7 linked regions of the Daphnia pulex genome follow. The protein of the gene in region 3 purifies or fractionates together with the protein of the main gene of each other region. This does not show direct contact. Links are inferred from orthologs where the notes say so. Each region holds a gene or a part of one and is shown on either strand. Other genes may lie near its edges. The genes, in order: U5 small nuclear ribonucleoprotein 200 kDa helicase-like, arginine and glutamate-rich protein 1-like, U1 small nuclear ribonucleoprotein 70 kDa-like, pre-mRNA-processing-splicing factor 8, splicing factor U2AF 50 kDa subunit-like, small nuclear ribonucleoprotein Sm D1-like and tuftelin-interacting protein 11-like.

Region 1 (4,239 bases), on a different chromosome or scaffold from region 3:
GTCGCCCAAAACGTCTCCTTCACCGGCGCCCCCACTAGCGCCACCATCTACTACCGGAGCTTCGGTCTTTACAGTCAAGAGCAGTCCCGTTCGTCGGCCCCGCGGCGAGGCCAAAAAGTGCCGCAAGGTTTACGGAATGGAACACCGCGAGCAGTGGTGCACTCAATGCAAATGGAAAAAGGCTTGCACTCGCTTCGGCGAGTGAAACAAATGACTATACCACACCCCAATGTGTACGTATATATATACTATTTAATCCTTTCCGAGAAAAAGAAAAACAACCGCTCGGATTTCCGACTGTAGAAATTTAATCCGTTTTCCGCTTGATTTTGACATGGAACAAACGTCTCCCCTCCTTTTTCTTTGTCTGATTGTGTTTTGTTGTTTCATGGCTATTTTTCTTTTTATTGTTGTCGACAGGAAATTTTTTTTTAAATTTTGATGTCTGGTGCTGGATGTATTGCGGAATAGGAGCCAAGTTTTTGTGCGGATGACGGATCTCAAAAGATCTATGACACTTGGCGCGCTGGGCGGTTGATATTGTTTGAAACCATTTTTACTTGCGGGCAACTTTTTGACAAAAGACAAAAAAACGTTTTGACTTTATTTTTTATTTTTTTAATTATTATTGGCTTTCGTATTTGTTATGACAAATTCATGCCGGAGCGTGTTGTTGTGTGTGCATAATTTTCGTTGTGAAGATGCAGTGTTGTTTTGTATCTTGCCACTGACCAGGCTGCCGTAGCTCAGTGACGATTTCTCTGACTGGTGTCGTTATTACCTCTCGTACAACATCATTGAAAAAATATTGTTTTCATCCCTATGTCCCACCTCATATCTGCGTTACTCTCAAAAAAGCTTTGTACAGCGTTAGATGGCTTTTTTCTCTACCAATGTTTCTTTATTTCGTCGATTTAGAGTTATTTTTGCAATAACGCTGCGTGAATTTTAACGTTTATAGATTTACCCTATTTAGACCTGATTTTGTTTTTCCATCTCCTTTGTAGTTCGCATAGTGGGGGGTTTTGTTTCTGTGTTTTTTTCTCATTTCATTCTCAAGACCGATGGACTTTTGAAAAATGTTTGGTTTTTTCTCCTTACAAAAATGGTGTTTTAGTTTCTTAATTGCTTTTTTTCTGTATTTTTTTTATCCCTTTTTTCGCGCGTGTCGACCCAGAGTTTTATGGCGAGATTTTTAAATTTTTCAATATACAAATTTCCTCTCGAATTCTGAATTTTGTTTTATTACAAACTGGCAACGCTGTCAATTGCCTGTTCGAACAGCATACGAAACTTTCGTCAGTGTCTAAAAGCAAGCCGTAAGAAATGGCGGACGCCGCAGCACGTTCGCTCCAGTACGAGTATAAAGCCAATTCTAATTTGGTTTTACAAGCTGACGTTCGTTTAATCGATCGCCGAGCACGAGATGAAGCCACCGGTGAGGTTATGTCCCTTACTGGGAAGTTGGAAGGAACTCGCATGGGTGACAAAGCCCAACGGATGAAACCGGCAAAACGTCAGAAGCGTGATCCCAACAAAACTGATATTGGTGGTAAAAATGGTGGAAAAGGACCTTTGCAAAGCGACAACCTGGATGAAATCTCTGGCATCATCTACAGGCCCAAAACGCAGGACACCAAACAGACTTACGAAGTGCTTCTCAGTTTTATTCAGGAAGCGTTGAGTGATCAACCCAGAGATGTGTTGTGTGGTGCTGCTGATGAAGTCCTCACGGTTCTCAAGAACGACAAGCTCAAGGATAAGGAGAAGAAAAAGGAAACAGAGGCTATGCTTGGCTCCTTGCCAGAAGAAAGATTTGCCCTGCTCGTTAACCTGGGTAAGAAGATCACAGATTGGGGCCAAGACGAGAAAATGGGTACTGGAGAAGAGCAAATGGACGACCAGTATGGCATCAATGTGCAATTTGAAGACACAGACGAAGAAAACGAAGAAGAAAATGTGTATGGAGAGATTGGAGAAGAAGATGACGGTGAGGATGAAGCTGATGAAGCTGAAACAGACCATGCCATTCATGCTGATGCTGTCGCAAGTGGCGTCGATTTGGGCGGTAAAAAAGAGAAGAAATTGCATCCCCTCGATATTGATGCCTATTGGCTTCAGAGGAAGCTGTCAAAGTTTTACAGTGACCCCATGGTGTCTCAAGCCAGAGCCGGTGAAGTCCTCAACATCCTCAAGAATATCCAGGATGAAAGAGAATGTGAAAATCAGCTAGTTGTCTTGCTTGGTTTTGACTGCTTTGACTTCATCAAGCTGCTTAAACAAAACAGACACATGATTCTTTACTGTTCGTTACTGGCATCCGCACAGAGCGAAGCTGAACGTCGAAGCATTCAAGACGAGATGAAGAGCAATCCCCATCTGAACAAGATCCTTCGACAATTAGATACTGTGAGGGACGACACTGGAATCGAACCGATGGAAGTCGATTTTAAAAAGAGTTCACGTCAAGGTACTTCTGCCTCCAAAGAAGTCGGAGGTGGAGGACAGGAAGGGTACAGTGGCATTCCAGGTCTTCGAGAGCTACTGGACTTGGAGGATCTTGCATTCGCTCAGGGCTCTCACTTCATGGCCAACAAAAAGTGTACACTTCCAGAAGGTATAATAATTTAGTTTCTCATCTTTTAATTTCAATCAAAATTTAAACATGGACTTGTATTGCAGGTTCTTTCCGAAAACAGCGTAAAGGCTACGAAGAAGTTCATGTGCCACCATTGAAACCTAGGCCTTTTGATGCTGATGAAATGCTTATTCCTATCGATAAACTTCCAACCTACGCCCAACCAGCTTTCGAAGGATTCAAAACGCTCAACAGAATCCAGTCTAAAATCTATAAAACAGCTCTCGAATCGGATGAGAACATGTTAATTTGCGCCCCAACCGGCGCCGGCAAAACCAACGTGGCTTTGTTGACAATGATGAGAGAATTGGGCAAGTACATCAATCCGGACGGAACAATTCGCGTTGATGAATTCAAAATCATCTACGTTGCACCCATGCGTTCGCTCGTACAAGAGATGGTGGGCAGTTTTGGCAAAAGACTGGCGCCTTTCAACCTGAAAGTTGCCGAATTGACGGGCGACCATCAACTCAGCCGTGAAGAAATTGCACAAACTCAGGTGATTGTCTGCACGCCCGAAAAGTGGGACATTATCACTCGCAAATCAGGAGACCGAACCTACACGCAACTGGTCAAGTTGATGATCTTTGACGAAATTCACTTGTTGCACGACGACCGTGGTCCAGTTTTGGAAGCCTTGGTAGCTCGTACTATCCGCACCGTCGAATCCACTCAAGAAGATTTGCGATTGGTGGGTCTTTCTGCCACGCTTCCCAATTACGAAGATGTGGCCACTTTCTTGCGTGTCCGACCCAAGACGGGTCTATTCTTCTTCGACAACAGCTACCGCCCTGTACCCTTGGAACAGCAGTACGTTGGAATCACGGAGAAGAAAGCTGTTAAGCGTTATCAGATTATGAACGAAATTGTATACGAGAAGGTAATGGAGCACGCCGGCAAGAATCAAATTCTCGTCTTCGTTCATTCGAGGAAAGAAACCGGCAAAACAGCACGTTCCATCCGCGATCTTTGTTTGGAGAAAGACTCTCTGGGAGCCTTTCTACGTGAGGGTTCCGCTTCTACGGAAGTTTTGCGCAATGAAGCCGAACAAGTTAAGAATCAGGAGCTGAAGGACCTACTTCCCTATGGTTTTGCCATCCATCACGCTGGTATGAGCCGTGTGGACCGTGCTTTGGTCGAAGATTTGTTTGCTGATCGTCACATCCAGTTGCTCGTTTCCACAGCTACTTTGGCCTGGGTAAATATAATAACTAATCAGAGCGTTTTAGAAAAGGTCAAATTTTAACGATTTTTTTACCAATATTAGGGTGTCAATTTGCCAGCCCATACTGTCATCATCAAAGGAACGCAAGTCTACAATCCGGAGAAAGGTCGATGGTGCGAACTTGGATCTCTCGATGTCTTGCAAATGTTGGGTCGTGCTGGTCGACCGCAGTACGATACCAAAGGTGAAGGTATCCTCATCACCAACCACAGCGAGTTACAGTATTACCTGTCGCTGCAAAATCAGCAATTGCCCGTCGAGTCGCAAATGGTCAGCAAACTACCAGACATGCTGAACGCTGAAATCGTTTCCGGCACAGTGCAAAATGTCAAAGACGCCGTCCATTGGTTGAGCTACACTTATCTCTACATCAGGA
Region 2 (4,141 bases), about 320 kb from region 3:
GTTTTCGATTTTGCCGCCGTGATCACTCTGAGGACTATTTTGGCAATACTGGGGCTTTCCGCTGTTTAGTGGAGGGAGGAGGTCACGTTGCCTTTGTCCGACACGCTACTGTTCTAGAAAACACTGATGGTAAAAGCCGAGAATATTGGTCCCGAAATCAGCTTTCGCGAGATTATGAGCTTCTGTGTCGTGATGGCCAAAGAGCTCCCGTGTCAGATTACGCTCGTTGTAATCTAGGGAAGGTCAAAGCTAATGCCATGGTTGCAAGAGGAGGACGAGGCTACAATAAAACAGAAATCGATGCGTTCATAAACGTTTTTATGTATGCGCAACAATTTTACGGGCTGAAAGGTAAACAATTTTTACATTTAATTATTTCAAAAAATTAAAATCTTGAATTACTGTAATTTAGGAGATTATTTGGATTTTGCGTTGTTCACGTCTGACCCTCCTTATAACGACGTAATTTTTCAAGACGCCACACAGAAACTGCAAATCGTCCCTCCTAGCCAAAGGCATTATCACAAATATTTGGGACCTGAGTTCTTGAGAGCCAGACAGTTAGTGGATTGCCAAGCTGGGGCCCCCACTTTAAAATCAAGCATTACTGCAGCATTCACAATTTTTATATTCGTTTTTAATCATATTAGGTTATAGAATCTACCTCTTTTTTTAAATGACTTTGACTTCAGTGAACAGACACAGTGCCTAATGTTTTCCGTCCATTTTCTCACTGCAATGAATCTCTGTTTATGATGTAGATCGACTTTTTTTAAATTGGAAATACACATCCAATTTACGTTTCTTGATGCGTGGTTGATTTGAATTTGCAAAGCGATCGTGGACTCCTTTTTATGACTGTTATTTTTAGCTCACCCTCACTCTTTACCGTAATTTTAACAAAATGACCTTGTTGCTAGTGTTTCGTCTTCTTGGCTTAAAGGAATCTAAACTAACGTTTCAGGCGAATTTCTTTTAGATTTTTATGTCGTGAAAAAAAAAATCTTATAATCACAAGAGCTTGAATGTTTCTTGTGGTCAGACACATTCTTATGCAGGATAATATATATTTTTTTTTAAGTTCTTATCTTTCTAGTTGTGCTGTCTGATATTATTTTAGTTTTAAATTCAAAATTTGAGCTTTTTTCTTACTTTGGTTGGGGTTTATTATTTTCAGCTGACTTTTAAATCTTTTATTGAATAAACCCCATTTCCGGCAGATGGCAGCTCAATCGCCCGATTACATTTTCATGAAACATGAAGTAGCACTCCAGGAGAACTCACGCAGAAACGTAGTAACTTGGTAAGACAGCCTGAGCTGCGTATCGCATTGTTCAGACTTCAGAGATAGATATTAGATTTAGATATTAGATAACATTGTGGTCGGAAATTAAAGGAAGGGAATAACCACTTGGTAAATTCTTCCCTACTCATCTTTTCATCAACTGTTCTCTAAATTCCTTCCCTAGTTCCCTGAATCTGAATGTACACATCCCATTTCCCATGTACCTATGCCCCTCCTTCAAATGCCCGAACTAACCAGCCGCAACGTCATCTGTGGAGCTCGCCATGCGTAGCTCAGGCTTTCCAATGTGGTTGGTGACTTCCTCTGGTGCACTTCTTGTTTTCCATCTTCACATCAGTTTTATTTCTGTTTCTGATTTTAGATGGCTGTGGTGTGTGTGCTGATGTTGAATTCGACTAGAATATCTTGTGCTTCATAAAAAGGTATGAATTCAATATATTTCTAGATATTTAAGAAGTCTTAATCGAAACCTTGGTGTTCAAATGTATCATAGATGCTATTAATCCTTTGTTTTGTGCACTTCCATTGAAGAAGAAACATCTGTTATATAGGCGTTTTCCTAAATTCGGATGGATTAATCTGAAAGCAACCAAAAAAATGTGTACGACTCGAAAACGAAATTTGTTACGTACCACTATTAACTTGGCTATTAAAAAAAAACTTAGTTGTACACCAAAACCTTTATCATATTAAATTGATTGGATCGCATGCATGAGACTTTAATCATAAAAGCTGTAGTCAATGAAATTCTTAAATCAAAGTGTGTATTTTGAGCTCTTATACCTTTCTATTTAACTGCATGAAGTTATTGAAGAAAATCCAAAGATAAAGAAGTTACTAAAAGTTTTTATTTCTATTCTCAGTTTCAGAGTTGAAAAACAATAATGACAAAATCGAGAAGCAGAAGTCGCTCAAAATCACGAGACAGGGTGAGGAGAAGCAAACATAAAAGACGCTCTAGGTCACGGTCGCGATCGAGAAAAAATGAAAAACATCGGATGCCTTCTAGTCGCAAGGATTCTTCTGAGACTAAATACAGGTTAACTCAATTGCAGTATTCAAAAAAAGATAGAATTTCTTTATTCAGCGTTTGAAATGTATCATTAGGAAGAGGTCAAGATCATCGTCCTCTTCCAACAGTGATTCTGATGCTGGTTCCCGGAGATTAAGGCTTGGTCGGAGTAAACTTAGTGAAGTCGAAAGACTCGCTGAAATTGAACGTCAAAGAGCAGCCCATAATGCAAGAATCATGTAAGAAAAAACAATAAATTGTTTTGAAGTCTGGGTAACCGTTAATTGTCATGTTTCTTTCAGGCGTCAAAAGGAACAGGAACAAAAGATAGTGGAAGAAGAAACTGTCAAAAGAATCGAGGAAATGGTGGCGCAACGAGTGGCAGAAGAATTGGAAAAGCGGAAGGACGAAATTGAAGCTGAAGTCTTACGGCGTGTCGAAGAAGCCAAACAAATAATGGAACGACAAATGCTGGAGGAGCTAGAAAGGCGACGGAAAGAGAGGCTGGAAGAAGAAAACCGCCGCGAGGTATCGTATTTGGTTGGATCCAGTTATCTCCCGTTTTCTCACGGGCAAAGAAACGCTGAATTTGCAATCAACTTACAGCTCGTTCCCGATGTAGTTGCCACATTTTTAAAATGGTGGCGATGTCGTTATCTTCTCAAGATTTAGGAAATTGTTAAAGTGGAAAATTGTAAATTCAGCCGTTTCCGCGCATACAAAACATGAAGAAGTCTATCGGCGACATTTCTCTCCCATCTTGCATCTTGTTCACAAATTTATAGCTCTTTTCTCCCGGCGTTCATATATGCATTCCGCGCCGAATAGGAGCGGGCTGTCTTGTTTTGTTTTTTCTATACAAGACATTTTATTCCTAAACCTAAAAAGAAGATTTGCAGAGAATTCGATTTATGTTATCAAGTGATGAGAGAGAAATTGAACGGTTTGAGGCCCTTTTTAATGGTGGGTCATCATTTCGATCGACATCTGGAGTATGCTGACAGTGAGATCTCTCCGCCGAGCAAGGTCAGTTATTTTCTGGTACCGTGACCTCCAGTGTCAATTCAAGGGTCATCAGGGTTGTGCAGGTAACAGCAAATCATCACCAAACAAAACACATTTGTTTCCCCCTCTCTCGATATATTTGACATTATCCTCATCGTTTGACATGACTGATTGTTCATTTCATTTGTGCTTCACTATTTATGTTAATTAAAAAAAAAATGCCATTTATCTTGGTAACTTCGGCCACCATCACTACCCTACACCCCGTTTTTAATGGCGTGACTTGGATGGGTATATGGTTCCGCGTGCCGTTTAACGTCGTCCTAAAGTATCGATTTTTTTAACCTTACCCATCGTCCCTTCCTATCCTGCCTCATCTTCCCTTATGCACCCGGATACCCGTTTGAAACAGGAAGAGGAAAGGCGCAAACGCGAAGAGCTCGAACGGATCGTGGAAGAGAATAATAAGAAAATCGAGGAAGCCCAGCGTAAACTCGTGAGTTTCATACAAAAACAAACTTGAAAGATAATCAATTTACAAAATATTGTATGCATTTTTATCCTAAATTTTAGGCGGAGGAACGTTTGGCCATGGTGGAGCAATCGAGAAAAATGGAAGAGGATCGACAAAGGATGCAACGCGAGCACGAGAAACGGATGCGCGACGAGCAATATTTGATTTTGGGAAAAAAGAATGCTCGACCCAAATTATCTTTTTCACTTAGTAAACAGTGATGACTGATTACGGGTATCCAAGCAACCAAATTTAATATTTCTCGCCATTTCTTTCGCCTAGTATTGCTATGCTGTACAGAATT
Region 3 (3,963 bases):
GTCCTGAATGTTTTACGTTTACATCTGGTCCTCCACGACGAGTCCCACCCAAGCCTCCACCCAAACGGCGAGGAAGCCAACCTGGAATGCAATAGTTTAGGTACTTAGAAACCATGGCGGCATGATTATAATATCTAACAAGAAGAAAAAAATTTTGTGCACTTATTTACACTGATTAATCAAAATAAAAAACCTATGGATTTTCAAAACAAATTTTAAAATTTGCCTTCGAAAAAAAGGGCAGCAAACTATAAACATAAAACTTATTTAATTAAAATAATTACCTTTGACAGTCCTTGCCCTTTCTACGTCTACAAGAACTCTGCGGCCGTCTATTTTCTTTCCGTCGGCGTGTTTGTACGCAGCTGGTATTTTAAAACAACAAACCAGTATTTCGGCGCCGTCGGCAAAACGAACAAATCGTAAATACGGGTAGTACAGCAGGCAGAGAAGACGAAAAATTCAGCGTGTATAACATGGAGAAGGAGAGTTCCAACAATTAGTATCACAAACCTAATATCACCTACCGAAGGATCTCCATTACCTACCCCTCCCAGCAATTTCGAAAAATATTTACCGTGAATTAACAAATAACGAAAAATGCAATGATTTCAAGTATGACCAATCATAACACTTGGAAAATGCATAAAAAACCAACGCCACGGCCGTTTACCAGATTACGGCTATGTTCACGTAACATCCAGATCTATTAATAAGCGATCAAATGTTGCCAATCACAGAAGCAGATCCATTCCCTCTTCAAGCTGTCCCCATCTTTACCTGTGAATCCTCTTAACGCGCAGCAGCACTCGAAGAATCTGATCGAATTGAAATGGCCCTAATTTTTAGTGGCGCTAGAAAGCCTAGTAACCGACTTACCAGGATACTTACTACCATCAAGGGGAAGGGAGGGTGAAAACGAAAAGATACTTTCTTTGAAGCTAATTTGAACCTGCAGTCGATTTCAAAGGGATTTTGGTTTAACTTTAACCAAACGAAACCTTACCAATTGACCATACAAACCTAGCATCAAGAGACAAAAAGCGACAAAGGCCACATGACCGTCCAAATAGTCGGAGGCCGCGACTGTGACCGGAAACGACAAAATGAAATATAGGAAAACTTTAAGGTACAAATCAATCACAGATTTTCCCCACCTCACCCCCACCCCTTTCATCATCATACAAATTGGTGGTGCGACGATTAATTGAACAGTGAAAGCTATCGCAGGCCTTACTAATTAGCCCACTACCCTCAGTTACCACACGACTTAGGTATAATAGAAAAGAAATACTTACAATGCATGTCTCGCTCATGTTCATACTCGATGAATGCATAACCGCGTGGCTTACTAGTCCTCTTGTCATGCACCAACACAATCTGTAACATTAAAAAGCGTGGTAAGCGTGTGATTAAATTTCACATGGTGCTTGTAAGTTACCTTCCGAACAACTCCGTACACTTCAAACTCCCTGCGCAATTTAGATTCCGAAGTATCAAAATTCTGAGAGAAAATGTTTCAAGAATTATCGTTTCATTCATGCGGATTACTAGTTATAACTTAGCACTCATTATTCATTAAGCTCGAAATAAAATAAAAGTGATGAGAAAAAAAAATTATAGTATGAGTATTGACACTTACAATGCGAGCAACGAACAGCGTTTTGAAGGGGTCCATGGTAGAAACACCATTACTGTGTGGATCCCCTATGAATGCCAGAGAAAAGGGAAATTGATAAAAGAAATTGTAGAAACACACCAAAAATTAGAACTTACACATTGCAATTTCCTGTTCAAGTTTATAGGCAACTTGTTCTGCCTTTTCGCGACGTTTTCTTTCGCGCCGTTCATCCCGTGTTTCTGCTCGCGTAGGAGGGGGTGTATCTTTAGGATCCTGTTAAGAATATAAAATGATATTAAAAATTTCGTTATGTTTGAAAGCTCAGTACTTAGTTCATCAGAATGCTTCTAGTATGCAATGTTTCGTTCCACATCTCTCATTTAAAACTTTGTGAAACAATGACTACTTTACACCCCTCAGACATATGCTAACATTAAATTGTCAACCTGATAAAAGGCTCAGCTGGAAACACTGTGCTTCCAGAAAATTAAGACACTTTCACAACATTTTCACAAAATATTTTGCATCTCACATGTCACACATGAAAACTTGGGATTCTCATCGACACATCTAGAGGAGAATGAATAAATGAACCAAAACTGTTCCATAAATTGGGATTGGGACCCGTGCATTAGTAAATTAAGACATACATTACTTCCCAAATCAATCAAATTAGATCAAATTGCAATACTTACCTTGACTACTATATCAATTTTTAATTTTTAATGGAATCAAATACTAACCTCAAACAGATTTGTATACTGCGCTATACCAATGTATGGCGTTCTTTTTTTTTCATGAGTCAATTTATCAGGTGGTGGTAAAAATGGAGGGGGATCGCGTGGCGCAAAAAGAGCCAAAAGATTTGGAGGCAAAAACTGCGTCATTTCACAAATATTTCAATGAGCATGGACCTTTCAAAAAGCTTCTCGGTCGAGCGTCTTAGCTGTCGGCCATTAGTCCATTACTGTCTATCTATTGCTCGGCAGGGCTGCCACTTTGGTCTTTGGTGGGATTTTCCCACTTTTGAAATTTTCAAGTTTTTAAAATTGAAAATACCCGTTTTAAAAAACGGGTATTGTGGGATGAGATGGGATTGAGATTTTAGGAAAAACAGCGGGATTTTGTAATTTCTAATTTATCTGACCAATTTCATAAATTTTTTTTGAGCCGTAAATAGGCTAGCAACAAAATATATATTTGGCAACTAGAAATAAAACTAAATTTAAAAAAGCAGACGAATCAATACCAGATCAGAATCAGACATATATAAAAGTAAATAGTCACTACAGTCAAAAACAGCGTTTTGGCCCCAACCAATTTGTATCAGTTTTTACTTTTTATATTGTTTTAAATATTATAATCGTAATACTAGACCCCCGGCCCTTTAGTTTGCTTGTTGCTTATTGCTTATTGGATTTTAATGGGTTTGGCGCTGATATTTTTCATTAAATTTCTTGAAAGTGGAGTCTAGTAAGTAGGTAGTAGGTAACTTATAACATTTAAATTAATGCTCTTTAAGGAAAAAAAACTATAAATACTACATAAAAATAGACATAATTAGGTTTCAAATGAGACTAAGGGGGAATTTCTACGTGCATTTTTGACAAGGTTTAATATATGGTAAACATATTTTATACGGTAAGATTTATTTCATTACTGCATCTCAAAAGATTCAAGTTGTACAGCATCTTTCAATTACATCCAAGTCCCAAATATTGGTAAATAAATAAATTAGTTCCTTTCTTTCTTACAAAGCCTTTTCGGCCTTTTCTTAAATACATTGCTGATGCGGTTAAGTTCGGTTAATGTTATTGTGGTTTTCAAAAATCAGCTTGGATTTCAACTTCTACTTGCAGACAAACCAAAACAAAGTAAAAAAAAACTGTTCGATATTATTTGGCCTCTTGATGGCGTAGAATTCAATTATTGAATTAATTGAAATTAATGGTTTCTTAGGATTAGGAATGTCTTTAATCTTGATGTATTTATCGTCTGAAAGTTGAGACGGTGTCTCTAGCTCTCTACTTTAAGACCATAACAAAATTTTACTTTAGTTAGCTAAATTTTTTGCGCCAAAAAACTCATACTGTTTCGTCCTTCATGCTTAACTCAGCTTAAGGATAGGCCTTTTTATCGTTAGCACATGCAAAAAAATAAACAAACAAAACGCGGCAAAGTCTGATACACACGACATGATTCTGAATCGAGTTTCCATCATCACGTGACCGCAAGCACTCCGCCGGTCCGCCCACAAAAATAAACCCAAAAATGGAACCATACAATCTGTGAACATGTTTCCATAGTTCTACTAAGGCAGATTGCCCGAGATACCTAGATGG
Region 4 (4,311 bases), on a different chromosome or scaffold from region 3:
GTCAGAACATCAAACAGACGAAAAGATAATAACCTTGAGAACTGTACAGATAACCGTGACCGTGTACACTGCCTTTTGAGCCACTGCTCTCAACAGTTTGCTCGCGGGGAAACTTCTTCATAATATAGGTAGTCTTAGCGCCTTGGATACTGACATCACCTCTGAAAGCAGACCCATCTAATGAACGAAATCCGAACTGTGACATTTGTTTAGATAAACTGTTCGGGAAAAACCCAATTCAGTAGTCGTGATAAGGAAATGAAATTTGGGAATTGCGAAATAAGAGAATTTGAAGAAATTAAAGGTGTTCATTATTAAATAAAGGAAGTATAATCTAATAGGTAGAATTACTGGATTTTCGTATGATATGCATCAGGTCAAACTAAACTAAAACTTAAAAAACAGTTCCCCTTGAATTGGTGATGCACTTAGTGTATTTAATAATGCGCCAAAACTCTCAAACAATTATTGTTGGTTGCATAAATTGTGTGTCAAAAAATTCATTATTTAATATGATTTTAGCTCTTGCAATATCACAAATCAAAGGGGCAGTTCAATTATAAGGGGCATCTAAAAACTACAGTAAATAGTAATTATTTCATTTTTAGGCCAAACTCATATTCTTTTTGCTGAGGGTTTCTTTGAGCTCATTTCTGATATTTTCCATCACTTCTGGATTATTCTCTACAGTTCTGCTCAATTCAGTTAGAGCTGAATAAGCCATGGCTTGATTCAAAGGGCAGACTACAAATCCACTCAGTCTTCCCCATAGTCTTTCATACAAATTGTTCCTCTCTTCTACCGTAAAGTCCTCTCTTAAAGCTGTCATCAGAGGTTTGTAATTGCCATATCCCATAGCGTGTGATAAACCTAGGATTCCTGTGCCTGCGACAGCTCCTGCAAATGATGACAAGAAAAAATGATAGGTGCCAAATGGAAAAAAATGAAAACTGCCAAACTGAAAATTACCAATGACAGCTCCAAGAGGACCACCAGCTAAGCCACCAAGGAAGGTTGGCAAAGCAACAGTGGCTGAATCTTTTAATGGTCCAGCTAAGGAAACTGAAAGTGATTTTGTCCTCGACAGTTCCTCCAACAGACCTTCAATCAACTTGATTGCAAGAGTCTGAAATACATAAAACGTTTACATAAAAAAAAAAATGAAATCCTCTTTAATCTTGTCTTGAAAAAGGGGACATTATAATTTTATACTTCCATGGCAGTAGTCTATTGTTGTTACGATAATTGGAGTCACAAAAAATATTTTGAACTACAGACTAGAATGGTGATCATTAAGAATTTGCACTGAGTTCGGTTTAGTAGCGATAAACTTTCACTACTAATTTATCAAATCGAACGATAACAATGTGTAAACATGATAAGAAAAACGAAAAACTGCAACAAACTCAAAATAAAAAGAAGCAGACAAATTTCGAACGTGTGATGCAATAACAAACGGAGTTGCCGCTTATTTAAAAATAATTAAAATAAATATTCAAGCCATTTTCGACGGCAACTCCGTCTACAGTAAACCGGCATCGCGCTTTTTCGTACAAGCTGCGTATACTTCCGTGGCTTTCATTGTATAAGAAACGTGGAATTGCGACTGGTTTCTAGATTGTGTATAGGTTTTTAAAACTTTATTGGTGAGCATTGTCGTTTATTCTATTTCAAACTTTGTTTCATTGATGATGGTTTGTGTCTCAAAAGTAACTGTCTGGTGAATGTTTTAAGGCTAAACAAATAGTTTATTGCCATGAGAGTGGACATGCTTGTAAATGTCATGGCTGACTGTAAGCATTGGATGATGGAGCTATTATGTTCTAATTTTATTGTTTTAATTACCAGGGCCATAGCCCAGAAAGCTTAAATCAGGATGTCGGGAATTCCACCATTTTTTATTCCTGGTGTCACACCCCCAAATCCATGGGCAAATGCGGCCATGATGGCGCAAGCCCAGCAACAGGCACAGCAAGCCCAAATGGCTGCTGCGGTCCAAATGCAGGCTCAAGCAGCTGCAGCTGCTCAACTTCAAGCTGCTCAGATCCATGCAGTTCAAGCAGCCCATGCACAAGTGCAGGCTCAGGTTCAGGCAACACAAGGTAGTAATTGAGTACAAACGTTTATTATAACAAGGTATTTTATCAGTTTTATTTACATCAGGTCCTCCTGTAATAACTAGTTCGAAACAAGAGCAGATGACAGAAGAAAAAATGCAAGACAAGGCTCGTAAATGGCAGCAATTACAAACCAAACGTTATGCAGACAAGAGAAAGTTTGGCTTTGTTGATTCTCAGAAAGAAGATATGCCTCCAGAGCACGTCCGTAAAATCATTCGGGACCATGGTGATATGACCAACCGAAAGTTCCGTCACGACAAGAGAGTGTACCTTGGTGCTCTTAAATATATGCCACACGCTGTTCTCAAGCTCTTGGAGAACATGCCTATGCCTTGGGAACAAATCCGTGATGTTAAAGTACTCTACCACATTACAGGTTCGTTTCACTTATCTTTTCTTTATGTTGTATAAACGCTAATGGTATTCATTTGTTTTAGGTGCCATTAGCTTCGTCAACGAAATTCCGTGGGTCGTTGAACCTGTTTACATTGCCCAGTGGGGTACCATGTGGATTATGATGCGTCGAGAGAAACGAGATCGTAGACACTTCAAACGAATGCGCTTTCCTCCTTTTGACGACGAAGAACCTCCGTTGGACTATGCTGACAATATTTTGGATGTAGAACCCCTGGAAGCCATTCAGATGGAGTTGGACTCGGACGAAGACAAACCAGTTGCTTCTTGGCTGTACGATAGTAAACCTTTGGTCGATACTAAATTCGTCAATGGTACCACCTATCGCAAGTGGCAACTCGAAATGCCTCAACTGGCGACACTCTACCGTTTGGCGAACCAATTGTTGACTGACCTCGTCGATGACAATTACTTTTACCTCTTCGACCTCAAGTCATTCTTCACCGCCAAGGCGCTGAATATGGCAATTCCGGGTGGACCTAAATTCGAGCCACTTGTAAAGGACGGAAACACTCAAGATGAGGATTGGAATGAATTTAATGATATCAACAAGATTATCATCCGGCAACCTGTTCGAACAGAATATCGTATTGCCTTCCCCTATCTCTACAACAACATGCCCAACTTTGTTCATTTATCTTGGTGAGTAATACTGGCTTTCAACTTGTGCTTTAATGGCTGAGATATACACCGATATCCAGAAGATACTTGGATGTTGGTGGCTGAAACAGTCGTAGATAAAAAAAACCAAGAGCTCTTAGTCTTTACTACATAAAACTATATTGAGCCCTACAATGATTATTTCTCTTTTAGGTATCACACCCCAAATGTGACCTTCATCAAGACAGAAGATCCCGATTTGCCGGCTTTCTACTTCGATCCGCTCATCAATCCGATTTCGCATCGCCGTACCGAGAACAAGTTGGCAGAAATGTCTGAGCAAGATTTGTTACCCGACGATAGCGAAGAATTTGAATTACCAGAATATGCGGCACCACTGCTTCAAGTAAATTTTCCATCATCTGAAATTTTAGTTAAAAAGCAATTTTAATCGATATTTCTCTTGACAGGAATGGCCCTTGTATACGGACAACACAGCGAACGGTATTGCGTTGTTGTGGGCTCCCAGGCCGTTCAACTGCAGGTCGGGATTCACTCGTCGTGCACTGGATGTTCCATTGGTCAAAAACTGGTACCGTGAACACTGCCCACCCGGACAACCGGTCAAGGTGCGCGTTTCATACCAGAAGCTATTAAAGTACTACGTCTTGAATGCGCTCAAGCATCGACCACCGAAAGCCCAGCGCAAGCGTTATCTTTTCCGGTCCTTCAAGTCGACCAAATTCTTCCAGCAAACAACTTTGGATTGGGTTGAAGTCGGCCTCCAGGTAAATATTAAACTTTTTCCTGTTAAGAGTCCTTTATAATGATGAGTTGTGCAGGGGTCATGAAATTACCCATAACATGTTAGGTAGACATTGAAAGTCGGGTCTGGCCGTTTGCTAGCCAACTTTCGATGGGACAACGCACTTACTGATATTAACAATCCTCTTAACTTCACATTTCATATTTTTATATCTCTTCCCAAAGACTTAACCCATTTCTTTGTTTGAACAAATTTAGGTCTGTCGTCAAGGATGGAATATGTTGAACTTGTTGATTCACAGGAAGAACCTCAACTACTTACATTTGGATTACAATTTCAACTTGAAACCCGTCAAGACCCTTACAACCAAGGAGCGTAAAAAGTCACGTTTCGGAAATGCTTTCCATCTTT
Region 5 (4,235 bases), on a different chromosome or scaffold from region 3:
AGAAAATTGTAAGATAAGCAAGAAAAAACAATCTTTAATATCTACATTCAGAATCTTACATCCTTCGCGAGCAAGAAATAGATTTCTCTTATCCTTATGTTCCTTTTTTTCAGCTTCTTGCTTTTTGTGATCGAGGTCTTCCCGAGTAACTGCAAGAGCCACGTCTAAAATGCGTCCATCTAACTGTAAATATGGATTTCGAGACTCTTCTAAACACTTTTGAGCCGATTCCGAATCCTAAAAATGGTTAATATGAAAAGTTATTAGTATGTATTTATTTTTGCAATAATGCAACTTACTCTAAATTTTACGAATCCAGTGCCCTTGGGTCTCTCCATAATTTTATCCATACACAACAATGCATAGTGAACACTGCCAAATTTTTCCATGAAATTTTTCAACGAGTCTTTTGTGGTTGAAAAGTCCAAATTTCTGATAAAAAGAGTCTTTCCTTCTGCTACATCACTCTTCTTTTCTATTTCAGAATTATCACCCTTCCAAGCTTCTTCTTTTTTTGGACTTTCTTCTTCACCGGAACCATTCTCAACTTCAGAATCAGAAGCTTCTCCATCTTGTTCTTCTTCATCATTATCTTCTTCTTCATCATTACTTTCTTCATCATCAGATTCTTCATCTTTTCTGTCATTTTTCTTCTCTGGCGGCTCAATGTTTGGAACTTCGTCAGTTTTATTATTTAAAGTGGCATACTGTTGTTTTGGTATGGCCCAATCAATAGCTATTTGCCTTCCTACAAAAAAAAAACAATTGATAAGCTATTATCAAATTTAAAATGTTAAAATTTTCTTACCAAGAAATGGTTTTGCATTGCATTCTTTGATTGCTGTAGCCGCACATGGAACTGTTTTAAATTGAACAAAACCACAGCCAACTAAAGTGCCACCAGGTTTCTTTAATAATTTCACATCCTCAATTTCTCCATATTTCTCAAACCAGTTTTTAACAGCTTCTTCTGTTGCCTGTTAATAAATTAAATCAAGTACTAACTTACTAACATACTAAAAGTAGCATAAATTAAAGTTTCTTGGCTTACTTTGAAAGATAAATTGCGAATAATTATTCTTCCTCTTTTATTGGGTGGTCTCTTCTTTGATGTGTTTGCTTTAGTAACAATAGAAGCTTCTTTTTTAACTGAAGAGTGATTCATCTTTTAAATCTATCCAAACACGTGCTTGTCTGTATAACTGATGTAGCTAGTCAAGCAGACGATTATATGTGTCAAAATGTAGCATAGACTGTTGTCAATTGGCAAAATGACAACTAATGAGGATTAACATGAATACAACAATTACTCAGAAAATAAATTTTATGTGGCTATTATTTTATGAAATATTTAATCTTACCTTTCAGTATATTAATCAAAACCAAGTTTGAAATTGTAAACATTAAATCGACGTTGCCGGTACAAGGAGTCAATCGAACCTCGTCTCCGACGCCATTCGCCCATTCCCAGCCTTTAATCAAACCGGCTTACAGTCTTAGTGAAAATTTGGACAATAATTAACTGTTTTCCTCTGCTGTGTTTCTTCTTATTGTCGTACAAAAGCTAACAATCACACGTTAATCATGGGAGAAGATAAAGATGATCGTAAAGGTATGTTTTAACTTCTCTAAACTACTTCTGTCAATATCAACTATAATGCTTTTGTAATGTTCTTAAGAGTCTGTGATGCTTAAGAAAGAAATGTTTAACACACATTACTTACAAGTAATGGGTGTTTAATGATCTGGTTGTATTTTACACATAATTTCATAACTTTTAATGGTTTATAATGTTGGCTCGTGGTTTTGCTTTTGTATGGAAATATTAGTCATAGTAGTTAGAAGGTAGTCAAGCAAGTAAACTTACTTGTTTGATTTATTAACATTTGAAATACTTTAGTTGACAGGGAGAGAGATCGTGACCGTTCCAGAGATAAGGAAAAGGACAAGGAAAGAGACAAGGATAGGGAAAGAGATAGAGACAGGGATCGTAGACGGTCCAGGTCTCGTGACAGAAAGAGAAGGTCTAAATCTAAGGAAAAGGAGAAGGAGAAGAAGCGTAGCAAGTCCCGTGAACGTGAACGCAAAAGGAGTCGTTCTCCTGTTAAAAAGCAACGCCGAAGAAAGCCGTCTATTTACTGGGATATTCCTCCTATTGGTTTCGAACACATCACACCCATGCAATACAAAGCAATGCAAGGTATAAATCCTTATTCAAGTTTCAATTTTAATGTGCTAATTATTATTTTCTTGAATCTACGTAGCTGCCGGACAAATTCCAGCTAACATAATGACGGAAGTAGCCCCACAAGTCCAAGTACCAGTAGTGGGTAACACAATCACTCGTCAAGCCAGGAGACTCTATGTTGGGAATATTCCTTTTGGAGTTTCTGATGTACGCGCAGCGGAGGAGGAAATGATGGATTTCTTCAATCAACAGATGCATTTGTCTGGTCTGTCTCAAGCTCCAGGTCATCCCATTTTAGCTTGTCAAATTAATCTGGATAAGAATTTTGCATTCTTGGAGGTTTGTTGGATTGTTTTCACGTGAAACCTAGTATTTTAGTGGAATATTTAAATAATTTTGCTCTTTTACTTTTCAGTTTCGGTCAATTGATGAAACTTCCCAGGCCATGGCTTTTGACGGTATTAACTTTAAAGGTCAAACTCTAAAAATCCGCAGACCCCATGATTATCATCCAACACCTGGTGGTGGCGGCGGAGGAGGAGGAGGTGGTGGTCCCGAAACAACGCCCGGCATGAGTTCTGGTGGTATAACTGAAAAGAGGGCTGGAGGTGGAGGTGGTGGAGGAGGAGGAGGCACAAGTAAGGACGACTTAAAGTGATTCTTTTATGGCAAATTTCTTTAATGTATTCATTGTTTTTTGCTCAGTGAGCACGATCGTCCCGGATACACCCCACAAATTGTTCATCGGTGGACTTCCAAATTACTTAAACGAAGAACAAGTAAGTTACCTGTTTCGTCGATGTGACTGTAAAATGTGTTTTCGATTGGGAGAAGAAAAAAGAGTGAGAGAAATGGGATTTGTGAGCGTCTAGTTGAAGCAAAATCGATTCTGATGAATGTCTTCTTCTTTCGTTCTCCCTAAACAGTGGTCACGTGATCCTTAAAACTTCCTACCCATTCCAACCACACAACCTCGATCCATCTCCCCACCGTCGATCCCTAGATTGTTATTTTTGAAGGTCGACTCTAGGCACGCACGCAAATTGTCTCATTCGAATTTAGGTAAAGGAATTGCTGATGTCTTTTGGACAACTTCGAGCCTTTAACTTAGTTAAAGATACGGCTACTGGCTTATCCAAGGGATACGCTTTCTGCGAGTATGCCGACGTCACCGTCACCGATCAAGTAAAGTAGACCATGATAATATTCCTTGAAAAACCATTACATCTAATTTTATTTTTCTTTCAGGCTATTTCCGGATTGAACGGTATGCAGTTGGGAGACAAAAAGATCATCATCCAGCGAGCCAGTGTTGGAGCCAAAAACGCCGCTGCTTACGCCCAGATGCCAGTCCAGATTCAAGTACCAGGATTCAATCTTGCTGCCGGTCCTGGCCAACCGACAGAGGTACAAAAATCAACCTTGTCTAATGCGACAATTTTTAATTTCATTTTGGTCTTTTCTTTTGCGTAGGTTCTATGTCTGCTGAACATGGTGACACCCGAGGAATTGAGGGACGACGAGGAATATGAGGAAATTGTGGACGATATTCGTGAGGAATGCAATCGTCATGGAGCCGTACGTTCAGTCGAAATTCCCAGGCCGTTGGAGGGTGTCGATGATGTACCGGGAGTTGGCAAGGTCTTCGTCGAGTTTATTTCGGTGAGCGACTGCGTTAAAGCCCAGCAGGCGCTGACAGGTCGCAAGTTCGCCAATCGTATCGTCGTTACGTCATTTTACGAACCGGAACGCTATCACCGACGGGACTTCTAAGCCATGACGGCTTCTGTCATCAGACAAAAAGTAATCCGCAAGATATGCCCCTTCTTTTTTTTTTTTTTTTTACTTTGATGAAACAAATAACGTCATGACGAACCGACGCTTGATGAGAATAAACGGCCTGATGCGTACGGGATTTCCCTTGATGAATTTGATTTTCTTTTTCTTCAGTTTTTTTTTGTCATTTCTAAATGGGTTTTTCGATATTTTGCATCAAGTTTGTGTTGTCCAACCTCTTTGTTTGGCGTGTCGGTGAAAAAACAAAACA
Region 6 (2,816 bases), on a different chromosome or scaffold from region 3:
ACGATCAAAAGGTTTTCTTTCTTTAGGACCGGACGAGTTGTCTTTCTATAGAAACAAAAATCTTACTTCAAATTACCCCAACTTTAACAGCAAAAATAAAAATGTAGGATTACCTTGCTTTTCATTTCCTTTTGATGTGTCTTCAACAAACTCTCTGACCTCTTCTTGGATTTATCATGCATGGCCACAATTTTCTCAAGCTTCTTATTCCTTTTTTGTTCCAAGTATTGTTTCCTCATTTCAGCTTCAAAATCCTCATCTTTTTCTTTGGATGTACTAGGCTGCTAAAATTATATTAATTAAATTATAGAAATTAGCAATGACCAGCTAAGAAAATTTCATTATATGTGTATCTATTGTACTATCTGAACCTTGGAAGTTGGTGTTGAAGTCCATTGATCTCTCCCTACAACCTCAGGTTTGTCAGAACGATTAAAGACACGAGGTCCCAGGCCAAAGTTTTTCCTTTTCAGTTCTGGAAGCTCAATCATCCAATCTTCTCTTTTTGGTTGCTTGTTGGCTTCATCATCATCCACACCAAGCAACTTCCTCTTCATCTTAAGAGCCCGCTGTTCAATGTCAACTGATGAACTATGTTCAGCATCCATACAATCAGCTGGCAGTGGTCCAATAACTTCATCATCTGATGAAGAGTCAACTTCATGATTAACAGAGCATCCTCTGTCATTGGAGATATTTGATTGCACTAACTTGCTGGACACTTTCTGTGATTTTAAATGAGCGGGAAGTGCTGGTCCGTAGAGATCACCTTCATCAGAATCTGAATCATCATTTTCATACGCTGTTTGAAGATGAGGAGGTAATGTTGGTCCGATTCGAGACATTTTGAGAGGGAAAAATTAAAACCACGCGGGAAATTGAGAATGCGTTACCGACAAAGAATTATTTTTAAAAAATCGAAAATAGGTGAAACCGAAACCCAATGTTTAGCTTACTGGAAATGCTGTTATAGTATGCAGGCCTGTCTCATGTGTTTTCTGTTTTGGAGTACGTTTTATTGTCACTCATGTCATGCCACTTGTGTTCTATGCGGTTCTATGATACGCTTCGATAATGCTTCTGGATTTATGAATTTATTTTGATAAATAAATTTAAAATAATAAAAAAAAATTATTATTAGTTAATTTTTGATTAAAATATGCAAAAATAAACCTTGTCTAATAACAAAATTCAAAATATTTGCGTAGATGGCGCTACGTTACAAGTACAAAAATCATAGTCATCGACCGTTATGAAATATGAAATGTCACAGGGCCTTTTTAGTATAAGTTATGCTTCCAACAAGCAGTTTTGGTTTTTGACTAGCGTACCTCGTGCGTTTCACTAAACTAAGGATTAAAACATTCAATAAGTCGTATATGGTGATTTACTTTATTACAGCCATCAAACAACAAGTTTATCAAAAATGAAATTAGTGAGGTAAGTTTCGGAATATGTTCATTGTCAAGTAAATTCGTACAGAAAGTAGCCACAAAAATCGGTTTGGTCTGGGTATTAAGCCGGTTGTTGGATGCGTCTGGGAAACTATGCCGTTTCTATATTTCACAACTTAAATAGTTCACTGCTTTCAATTGAAATAAATACCATTATTTTGTATAATCCTTAGGTTTTTGATGAAACTGAGCCACGAAACAGTCATTATTGAATTAAAAAATGGTACTCAGGTTCATGGAACAATAACAGGTAATTCAATTTTGTTGTCTTTATTCGATTTTTTATTTTACTGCAATCCTTAAATACTTTCTTCGAAAACTTAGTGAAATTGCAAACACATAAGTGACATTTTAGAAGAAAAGTTTTCCGTTTTGTATATTACTAAATTCATTCATTTGATTATGTTTTATAGGAGTTGATGTTGCTATGAACACTCATTTAAAAGCTGTGAAAATGACAGTTAAAAACAGAGACCCTGTTCAGCTTGAAACTTTGAGTATTAGAGGAAACAACATCCGGTACTACATTTTACCTGATTCACTTCCTCTTGAAACCTTACTATTGGATGATTCTCCGAAAGCCAAGGCCAAGAAGAAGGATGCTAGCGGTAGAGGTAAACTTTTTTCCCCTTATCACTGTGTTCCTCTTTTCATTTTCTTTTCTTTTTTTAGCTCGTGGAAGAGGCCGTGGACGCGGAGCTGTCAGAGGAGGACGTGGACGAGGACGTGGACGTGGTGCTACTGGTCCTCGACGCTGAAATTTGTAATTTCCAACGATTTTCCATTTTTTTTTTCGTTCTTTTCAGCAAATGTGGAATCAGTTTTCATTTGCATTACAAATTGTCATTGTCTTATATGTTTTTTGGTCAGTTGAAAAGTCCTTAAAACAAACACTTTTTTCCCCACAGTTGAGTCTGTATGAGAATTATTTATCAATTCCAATTGACTCCCATGTAAGCATAGATAATTTGTAGAGAACCGTCAATTCCTTTTCTTGATTTATAAGCGGACATCGCATAACGTTTCCTTGCTTATTTCAAGAATATTGACTATTCTTGCCATTTTGTCAGAGGAGTCGGGGAAAAAACAAGTGTAAAGAGCGGTGTAATAAGTAATGAAAGTTTGATGGAAATGAAAGTTAAATTACTTTTCTATTAAATTTAGACTAAAACTATTCAATTTTTTGTGACTAAACCATTAAACTTTAATTTAAATTAAGAATGTCGCAAATTTAAGGAAAACTTGACATGTTTAAGAACAGTCGTGGCTACAAGTTTTATTTGCTTTTGTAACTTCAGTTTAAGAGGTATTTGCGTTTAAGAGGCTTTCGGCGATATCTGCTCCTAATTTTCTATTATTCAT
Region 7 (4,366 bases), about 6.3 Mb from region 3:
GAATTCACACCTGTCAGTGCGGAATTGACGGAAATTGTGTTGATTCTATTGCAAAGTGCAACTGTGACTCAGTGGCTCCAGTTCAATTAGTCGATAACGGTAAGAGTTGAAAACGATTCTCGGAATTATACAAGATTTATAACAGAACATTAATTTTCTTTCATGAAAAATTATAAACAAATATGTTGAAGTTAATATTCGTGATCTCCTCGTCTTTCCGTGTGACAAAAATGACTCAGTAAATATTCTCTTTATTTTTTTTTTGGCTTCAAATGTTTTTAGGTGTCATTACGGACAAAAATGTCCTGCCCGTCACCCGCTTGAATTTTGGCCGAACTCAACTGGAAACTTCGTCGGGCATCCACACGCTTGGTCGATTGGTGTGTACCGGATCAGTCGCCCTGACTAGAATGCCCACGTCATGTAAGGATCTTTGGTTAATTGGCCACACCCTCAATGGATTTTATTCCATTATGGGATCTACGACGATGGAATCCGTTTACTGCGATTTCACCAAAGTTCCTGGCGATGACGGTAAATGTTTATTTTTTTTTCTCTTTATTATGCACTCTGAATTATTATTTAATAACAACAAATTATTTCTAAAAAAGGTTTCGAGAAATGGATTGGATACGCTGATGTCAAATCAGCGCCCGCCCATTTCTACGTTCAGAGAAGTTCTTCATTCAACACGGAGTTGGTTCCAATTCCTTTTGATGTGGCGCGGATAAACGTGGGAAATGCCTTTAACTTAACAACAGGAAAATTCACGGCCCCACGATCAGGAGTTTATTCTTTCGCTTTTACTGGATCGGTTGAACTTCCGGCTACAACGTCTCTAGTTCGCTTGCAAATCATTCTTTATCTGAACGGGAATGGAGTCGGGATTGCTTATCTCGAAGAGGGAAACACCGTCGCTTTTCAAAATGATCAGTTGTCCCTCCAGTCGACGCTGAAATTGAAATCAGGTGATCAAGTTTGGGTTCAGATTCAACAAATCTTACCAGGGGTGTATTTGGCTGACAACGGTGACCACTACACTCATTTCACCGGTTTCATGTTGGAGGAAGATATTGCCTCGTCTCTTTGAAAATTTCAGCTGAAGGAACATCCAAAATGCGAAAATCGACCATGGACTGAATTTTGACCCGATTATTGAAAAATATATTACGAGTGGTAGAAAATAATTTGATATTAATTAATAAAGGAATGGTAATTTGCTGGAGTAGGATTGAAATAAGATTTTTTTTTAATAAGTAAAAGGGAAGGAAGTTCGAACTGGTATCACATGTTCAAACCGCTGGGACCTGTTATACGCGCTCGCACTACGTACCTGGTTACTGTTTAGCATTCTCCAAGGTAGCAGAAGAAATATAAAAATACTAAGCAACTTTGTACTTTCAGTTTTAACTGTGTTGTGTGTTGTTAGTTTGTGTTCTTCAAACTAAATCATTATTTGATGTGTTTCTAACTGATACAAAAGAAAGACATATATCATCAACTTATTTGGTTAATTTTCATCATCATTTTACTAAATTTTTGAAAATGGCTAATGAAGAAGAGATGGAGAGTTTCGATGTGTCAGAAAGAGATTTGTATGATGCTTTCCAACCTGGTCAACGTCGTTTTAAAAAGATGACGAAAAACCAACAGATATATGGAGTATTTGATGAAGATGAAGGGGAAAATTTCACTCAGCGGTCAACGTCATCTTCTGGCCGTCCAGGTTTTTCCAAATCGTCAACAGCCAAGGATTACACCACACCAGTTGATTTTGTCAAAGGTGGTGTTCAGCAGGGATCAAAAAAGGAGAAATTACCTGAGAAAAAAACCAAGCTCTTTTCGTATTCAGAAAGGTATGCCATTACATAGTTATCTTTCAAAGACAATTACACAGTGCTTTTCTGATTTTATAGTGACGAAGAAGATGATTCCCACAATAGTGCCAGTGAAATCAATCTTACAGCTGGAAAGAAAACATTGCAGGACAAGAAACAGCCCAGAAAAATGTTTGATAGGTTCAGCAAAGATGCTAAGAGCTCAGGTGCTGGCGATCTTGGTGAATGGGAAAAACATACTAAAGGAATTGGTGCTAAGCTTCTATTTCAGGTGTGTCAGTTTTATTTTGTTGAATGCATCCCAACAGATTAATTTACTATTTTAATAATTTTTCTTTGTTTAGATGGGTTACCAACCTGGAAAAGGACTTGGTAAAGAGTTGCAAGGAAGAAGCCAACCTGTGGAAGCTCAGGTTCGCAAAGGAAGAGGAGCAGTTGGTAATGAAACATTGCTTTTGATTTTCACTTAACTTATTGATCTCTATTGTTGCAATTTCTTCATGTCATAGGTATGTATGGAGCTGAACACAAAAATGAACCTGCAAAGAAACAAGCATCAGATGATGAAGAAGAGAAAGAGTTCAAGAAAAACTTGGCCCACTGGAGAAAAGGTAAAGAAAAGTTAATATACTAAAATAGTGAGTAATCTTTTAAAAAATGAATATTAGATTTAGTCGAACCATCGTCGAAGAAAAAAAAGATCCAATATATGTATCGTACTTCCGAAGAAGTGATTGAAGAAATGTCTAAAGGTGGTGTTCATAGAATGGCTCGAGAATACAGGTAATAGTATTGAGATTTTAAATCAAGACCTTTCATTTTTTCTGCATGAAATCTAAAACACTGTTGTATATATAGTGAAATTTCCAAAGCCAAAGTGATTGATATGACAGGCCGAGAACAACGTGTTCTTCAAGGATACAGCGCTCTGAGAACCAAAAGGACGGAAGAGCCAAGCGATTCCGAACCTGCACCAGCTGGACTCAAAGTTGATAAATTTCAACTTGAAAAACTCTGCTACAACTTGGACACTCTAGTAGACCATTGTGAACACGTAAGATATTATTGTCACAATTATTTGGATTTCATAATCAATTCTGTTTATCGTTAATAATAGGAAATTATTCAAAATGCCAAAGAACTCTCCTACAATCAAGAGCAAATATTGGCCATGGAATCGCAAGTGAAAAATATGAGCGTTGAGGTTTCTAAGGAGATCACACGAATGGAAATGCTTACATCGATGCTTGGAGTCCTGGAACAGCTTGAACTGAAACAGGCGACAAACGAGCTATCTCTAGACTTCCTTTGGGAGCAGATAAGGAATTTGGAACAAAGCTACCCGGAAGAATACGTATCGTCGGATCTAGCCAACGTTACTCTGACTTACCTCATTCCCCTAATGAAGTTGCGATTATCAACCTATTGGCGTCCCATGGATTCTAAATCAACAGATGAAGCTTGTCGTTTAATTTTTCAACGATGGAGACCTATCTTGGAATTTTGCAACAAGACTCAGACCAACAGGTAAGAATATTCGGTGGGAGGTGGGAGTGAGTTGCTTTGTAAAACATTTTTCAAAATTCACAGTCGGGGCGGAATTGTTAAAAATGATAGTCGAATGGATCCTTATCACGGGTTGTTATGGCATGCCTGGATGCCAGCATTTCGAGGACTCGTTGGACAGTGGACTTGCAAAAATGCGGATCCAATGGTTGACTTGATCGAGTCGTGGGAGCAAATTTTGCCAAACTGGATCATGGAAAATATTTTGGATCAACTCATTCTTCCCAGAATACAAAAAGAAGTAGACAGTTGGAATCCGTTGACTGATCTCATTCCCATTCATGCCTGGATCCATCCCTGGCTTCCCCGACTAGGTAGTGCATTTATACTCGTGTTAGATAGTTGCATCATGTAGTAAATTTAAATAATTTCAAATTTTCAGGATCAAAACTGGAAATCGTATATCCCAACATTCGGCATAAAATGGCACAAGCGTTGGTGGCTTGGTCACCGTCAGATCAGTCTGCACGGTATTTTTTTTTTTTTATTAGTTTTTAAAAGGCTGACTATCTTTAACGTGTAACTTAATATATTGTGTACTTCCGTATGGATTTTTTAGTTCCGTTTTGATGCCTTGGGTTCCCGTTTTCTCCAAGGGTTCCATGGATGCTTTCCTCATCAAAAATATTTTACCAAAACTGCAAGTTGCTATTGCAAATTGGGACATAAACCCCAGTCGACAAGAATTAGGTTCGTTACTACAATACTACAGAACTTAAATACGTTTATTAACTTTTACATTGAATACATAAATAGATGTTTGGCACTGGATAATGAACTGGAAAGATCTTATGCCTTCCCAAAGCCTTATACAATTACTTGTGTAAGTATAATCTTGTATCATGGGTTTAAACTAAAAAGTACAATCTTCTGTTTTATTATTGCAGGTCCAATTTCTTCCCAAAATGGTTGCAGGTACGTTGAATTTATTTCACAGCTGTTGTTGCAAATTATGCATGAAT

What was found.
Region 1: the proteins of U1 small nuclear ribonucleoprotein 70 kDa-like (region 3) and U5 small nuclear ribonucleoprotein 200 kDa helicase-like fractionate together in Homo sapiens (co-fractionation; 3 studies listed by BioGRID, with this or other methods). This does not show direct contact. The link is inferred for Daphnia pulex from reciprocal best matches to the Homo sapiens genes SNRNP70 and SNRNP200.
Region 2: the proteins of U1 small nuclear ribonucleoprotein 70 kDa-like (region 3) and arginine and glutamate-rich protein 1-like purify together in Homo sapiens (affinity purification with mass spectrometry; 3 studies listed by BioGRID and IntAct, with this or other methods). This does not show direct contact. The link is inferred for Daphnia pulex from reciprocal best matches to the Homo sapiens genes SNRNP70 and ARGLU1.
Region 4: the proteins of U1 small nuclear ribonucleoprotein 70 kDa-like (region 3) and pre-mRNA-processing-splicing factor 8 fractionate together in Homo sapiens (co-fractionation; 3 studies listed by BioGRID, with this or other methods). This does not show direct contact. The link is inferred for Daphnia pulex from reciprocal best matches to the Homo sapiens genes SNRNP70 and PRPF8.
Region 5: the proteins of U1 small nuclear ribonucleoprotein 70 kDa-like (region 3) and splicing factor U2AF 50 kDa subunit-like purify together in Homo sapiens (affinity purification with mass spectrometry; 4 studies listed by BioGRID, with this or other methods). This does not show direct contact. The link is inferred for Daphnia pulex from reciprocal best matches to the Homo sapiens genes SNRNP70 and U2AF2.
Region 6: the proteins of U1 small nuclear ribonucleoprotein 70 kDa-like (region 3) and small nuclear ribonucleoprotein Sm D1-like purify together in Homo sapiens (affinity purification with mass spectrometry; 6 studies listed by BioGRID and IntAct, counting the BioPlex papers as one, with this or other methods). This does not show direct contact. The link is inferred for Daphnia pulex from reciprocal best matches to the Homo sapiens genes SNRNP70 and SNRPD1.
Region 7: the proteins of U1 small nuclear ribonucleoprotein 70 kDa-like (region 3) and tuftelin-interacting protein 11-like fractionate together in Homo sapiens (co-fractionation; 3 studies listed by BioGRID, with this or other methods). This does not show direct contact. The link is inferred for Daphnia pulex from reciprocal best matches to the Homo sapiens genes SNRNP70 and TFIP11.

The regions. Positions count from the first base shown.
Region 1 is NC_060022.1:2,646,437-2,650,675, reverse strand, and holds the start of U5 small nuclear ribonucleoprotein 200 kDa helicase-like, read left to right. Parts: upstream 1-1,281; 5' UTR 1,282-1,326; coding exon 1,327-2,617; intron 2,618-2,624; exon of another isoform or gene 2,625-2,630; intron 2,631-2,682; coding exon 2,683-3,836; intron 3,837-3,905; coding exon 3,906-4,239. Other genes in the region: zinc finger protein 704-like, read left to right, coding at 1-205. UniProt on the Homo sapiens protein: Catalyzes the ATP-dependent unwinding of U4/U6 RNA duplices, an essential step in the assembly of a catalytically active spliceosome. Plays a role in pre-mRNA splicing as a core component of precatalytic, catalytic and postcatalytic spliceosomal complexes.
Region 2 is NC_060026.1:6,459,028-6,463,168, reverse strand, and holds the start of arginine and glutamate-rich protein 1-like, read left to right. Parts: upstream 1-1,286; 5' UTR 1,287-1,414; exon of another isoform or gene 1,415-1,595; intron 1,596-1,667; 5' UTR 1,668-1,728; intron 1,729-1,837; exon of another isoform or gene 1,838-1,907; intron 1,908-1,916; exon of another isoform or gene 1,917-2,066; intron 2,067-2,169; 5' UTR 2,170-2,190; coding exon 2,191-2,345; intron 2,346-2,413; coding exon 2,414-2,557; intron 2,558-2,620; coding exon 2,621-2,846; intron 2,847-3,735; coding exon 3,736-3,819; intron 3,820-3,896; coding exon 3,897-4,058; 3' UTR 4,059-4,141. Other genes in the region: melanotransferrin-like, read left to right, coding at 1-351, 413-657. UniProt on the Homo sapiens protein: Dual function regulator of gene expression; regulator of transcription and modulator of alternative splicing. General coactivator of nuclear receptor-induced gene expression, including genes activated by the glucocorticoid receptor NR3C1.
Region 3 is NC_060026.1:6,141,064-6,145,026, forward strand, and holds the start of U1 small nuclear ribonucleoprotein 70 kDa-like, read right to left. Parts: upstream 2,801-3,963; 5' UTR 2,509-2,800; coding exon 2,365-2,508; intron 1,895-2,364; coding exon 1,777-1,894; intron 1,708-1,776; coding exon 1,643-1,707; intron 1,505-1,642; coding exon 1,442-1,504; intron 1,381-1,441; coding exon 1,299-1,380; intron 366-1,298; coding exon 285-365; intron 82-284; coding exon 1-81. UniProt on the Homo sapiens protein: Component of the spliceosomal U1 snRNP, which is essential for recognition of the pre-mRNA 5' splice-site and the subsequent assembly of the spliceosome. SNRNP70 binds to the loop I region of U1-snRNA.
Region 4 is NC_060027.1:2,048,924-2,053,234, forward strand, and holds the start of pre-mRNA-processing-splicing factor 8, read left to right. Parts: upstream 1-1,491; 5' UTR 1,492-1,646; intron 1,647-1,848; 5' UTR 1,849-1,876; coding exon 1,877-2,102; intron 2,103-2,163; coding exon 2,164-2,496; intron 2,497-2,557; coding exon 2,558-3,176; intron 3,177-3,347; coding exon 3,348-3,540; intron 3,541-3,604; coding exon 3,605-3,922; intron 3,923-4,157; coding exon 4,158-4,311. UniProt on the Homo sapiens protein: Plays a role in pre-mRNA splicing as core component of precatalytic, catalytic and postcatalytic spliceosomal complexes, both of the predominant U2-type spliceosome and the minor U12-type spliceosome.
Region 5 is NC_060018.1:5,213,014-5,217,248, reverse strand, and holds the start of splicing factor U2AF 50 kDa subunit-like, read left to right. Parts: upstream 1-1,431; 5' UTR 1,432-1,584; coding exon 1,585-1,612; intron 1,613-1,900; coding exon 1,901-2,200; intron 2,201-2,264; coding exon 2,265-2,527; intron 2,528-2,603; coding exon 2,604-2,826; intron 2,827-2,893; coding exon 2,894-2,967; intron 2,968-3,250; coding exon 3,251-3,373; intron 3,374-3,436; coding exon 3,437-3,595; intron 3,596-3,661; coding exon 3,662-3,961; 3' UTR 3,962-4,235. Other genes in the region: RNA-binding protein 28-like, read right to left, coding at 60-237, 300-748, 809-977, 1,052-1,165. UniProt on the Homo sapiens protein: Plays a role in pre-mRNA splicing and 3'-end processing. By recruiting PRPF19 and the PRP19C/Prp19 complex/NTC/Nineteen complex to the RNA polymerase II C-terminal domain (CTD), and thereby pre-mRNA, may couple transcription to splicing.
Region 6 is NC_060020.1:8,496,604-8,499,419, reverse strand, and holds small nuclear ribonucleoprotein Sm D1-like, read left to right. Parts: upstream 1-1,277; 5' UTR 1,278-1,426; coding exon 1,427-1,440; intron 1,441-1,627; coding exon 1,628-1,704; intron 1,705-1,867; coding exon 1,868-2,068; intron 2,069-2,126; coding exon 2,127-2,212; 3' UTR 2,213-2,308; downstream 2,309-2,816. Other genes in the region: GPALPP motifs-containing protein 1-like, read right to left, coding at 1-45, 114-284, 372-845. UniProt on the Homo sapiens protein: Plays a role in pre-mRNA splicing as a core component of the spliceosomal U1, U2, U4 and U5 small nuclear ribonucleoproteins (snRNPs), the building blocks of the spliceosome.
Region 7 is NC_060026.1:12,432,124-12,436,489, forward strand, and holds the start of tuftelin-interacting protein 11-like, read left to right. Parts: upstream 1-1,508; 5' UTR 1,509-1,545; coding exon 1,546-1,856; intron 1,857-1,916; coding exon 1,917-2,109; intron 2,110-2,182; coding exon 2,183-2,276; intron 2,277-2,347; coding exon 2,348-2,449; intron 2,450-2,506; coding exon 2,507-2,621; intron 2,622-2,696; coding exon 2,697-2,892; intron 2,893-2,955; coding exon 2,956-3,365; intron 3,366-3,428; coding exon 3,429-3,718; intron 3,719-3,786; coding exon 3,787-3,874; intron 3,875-3,963; coding exon 3,964-4,094; intron 4,095-4,160; coding exon 4,161-4,227; intron 4,228-4,291; coding exon 4,292-4,319; intron 4,320-4,366. Other genes in the region: uncharacterized protein LOC124205947, read left to right, coding at 1-99, 283-534, 612-1,090. UniProt on the Homo sapiens protein: Involved in pre-mRNA splicing, specifically in spliceosome disassembly during late-stage splicing events. Intron turnover seems to proceed through reactions in two lariat-intron associated complexes termed Intron Large (IL) and Intron Small (IS).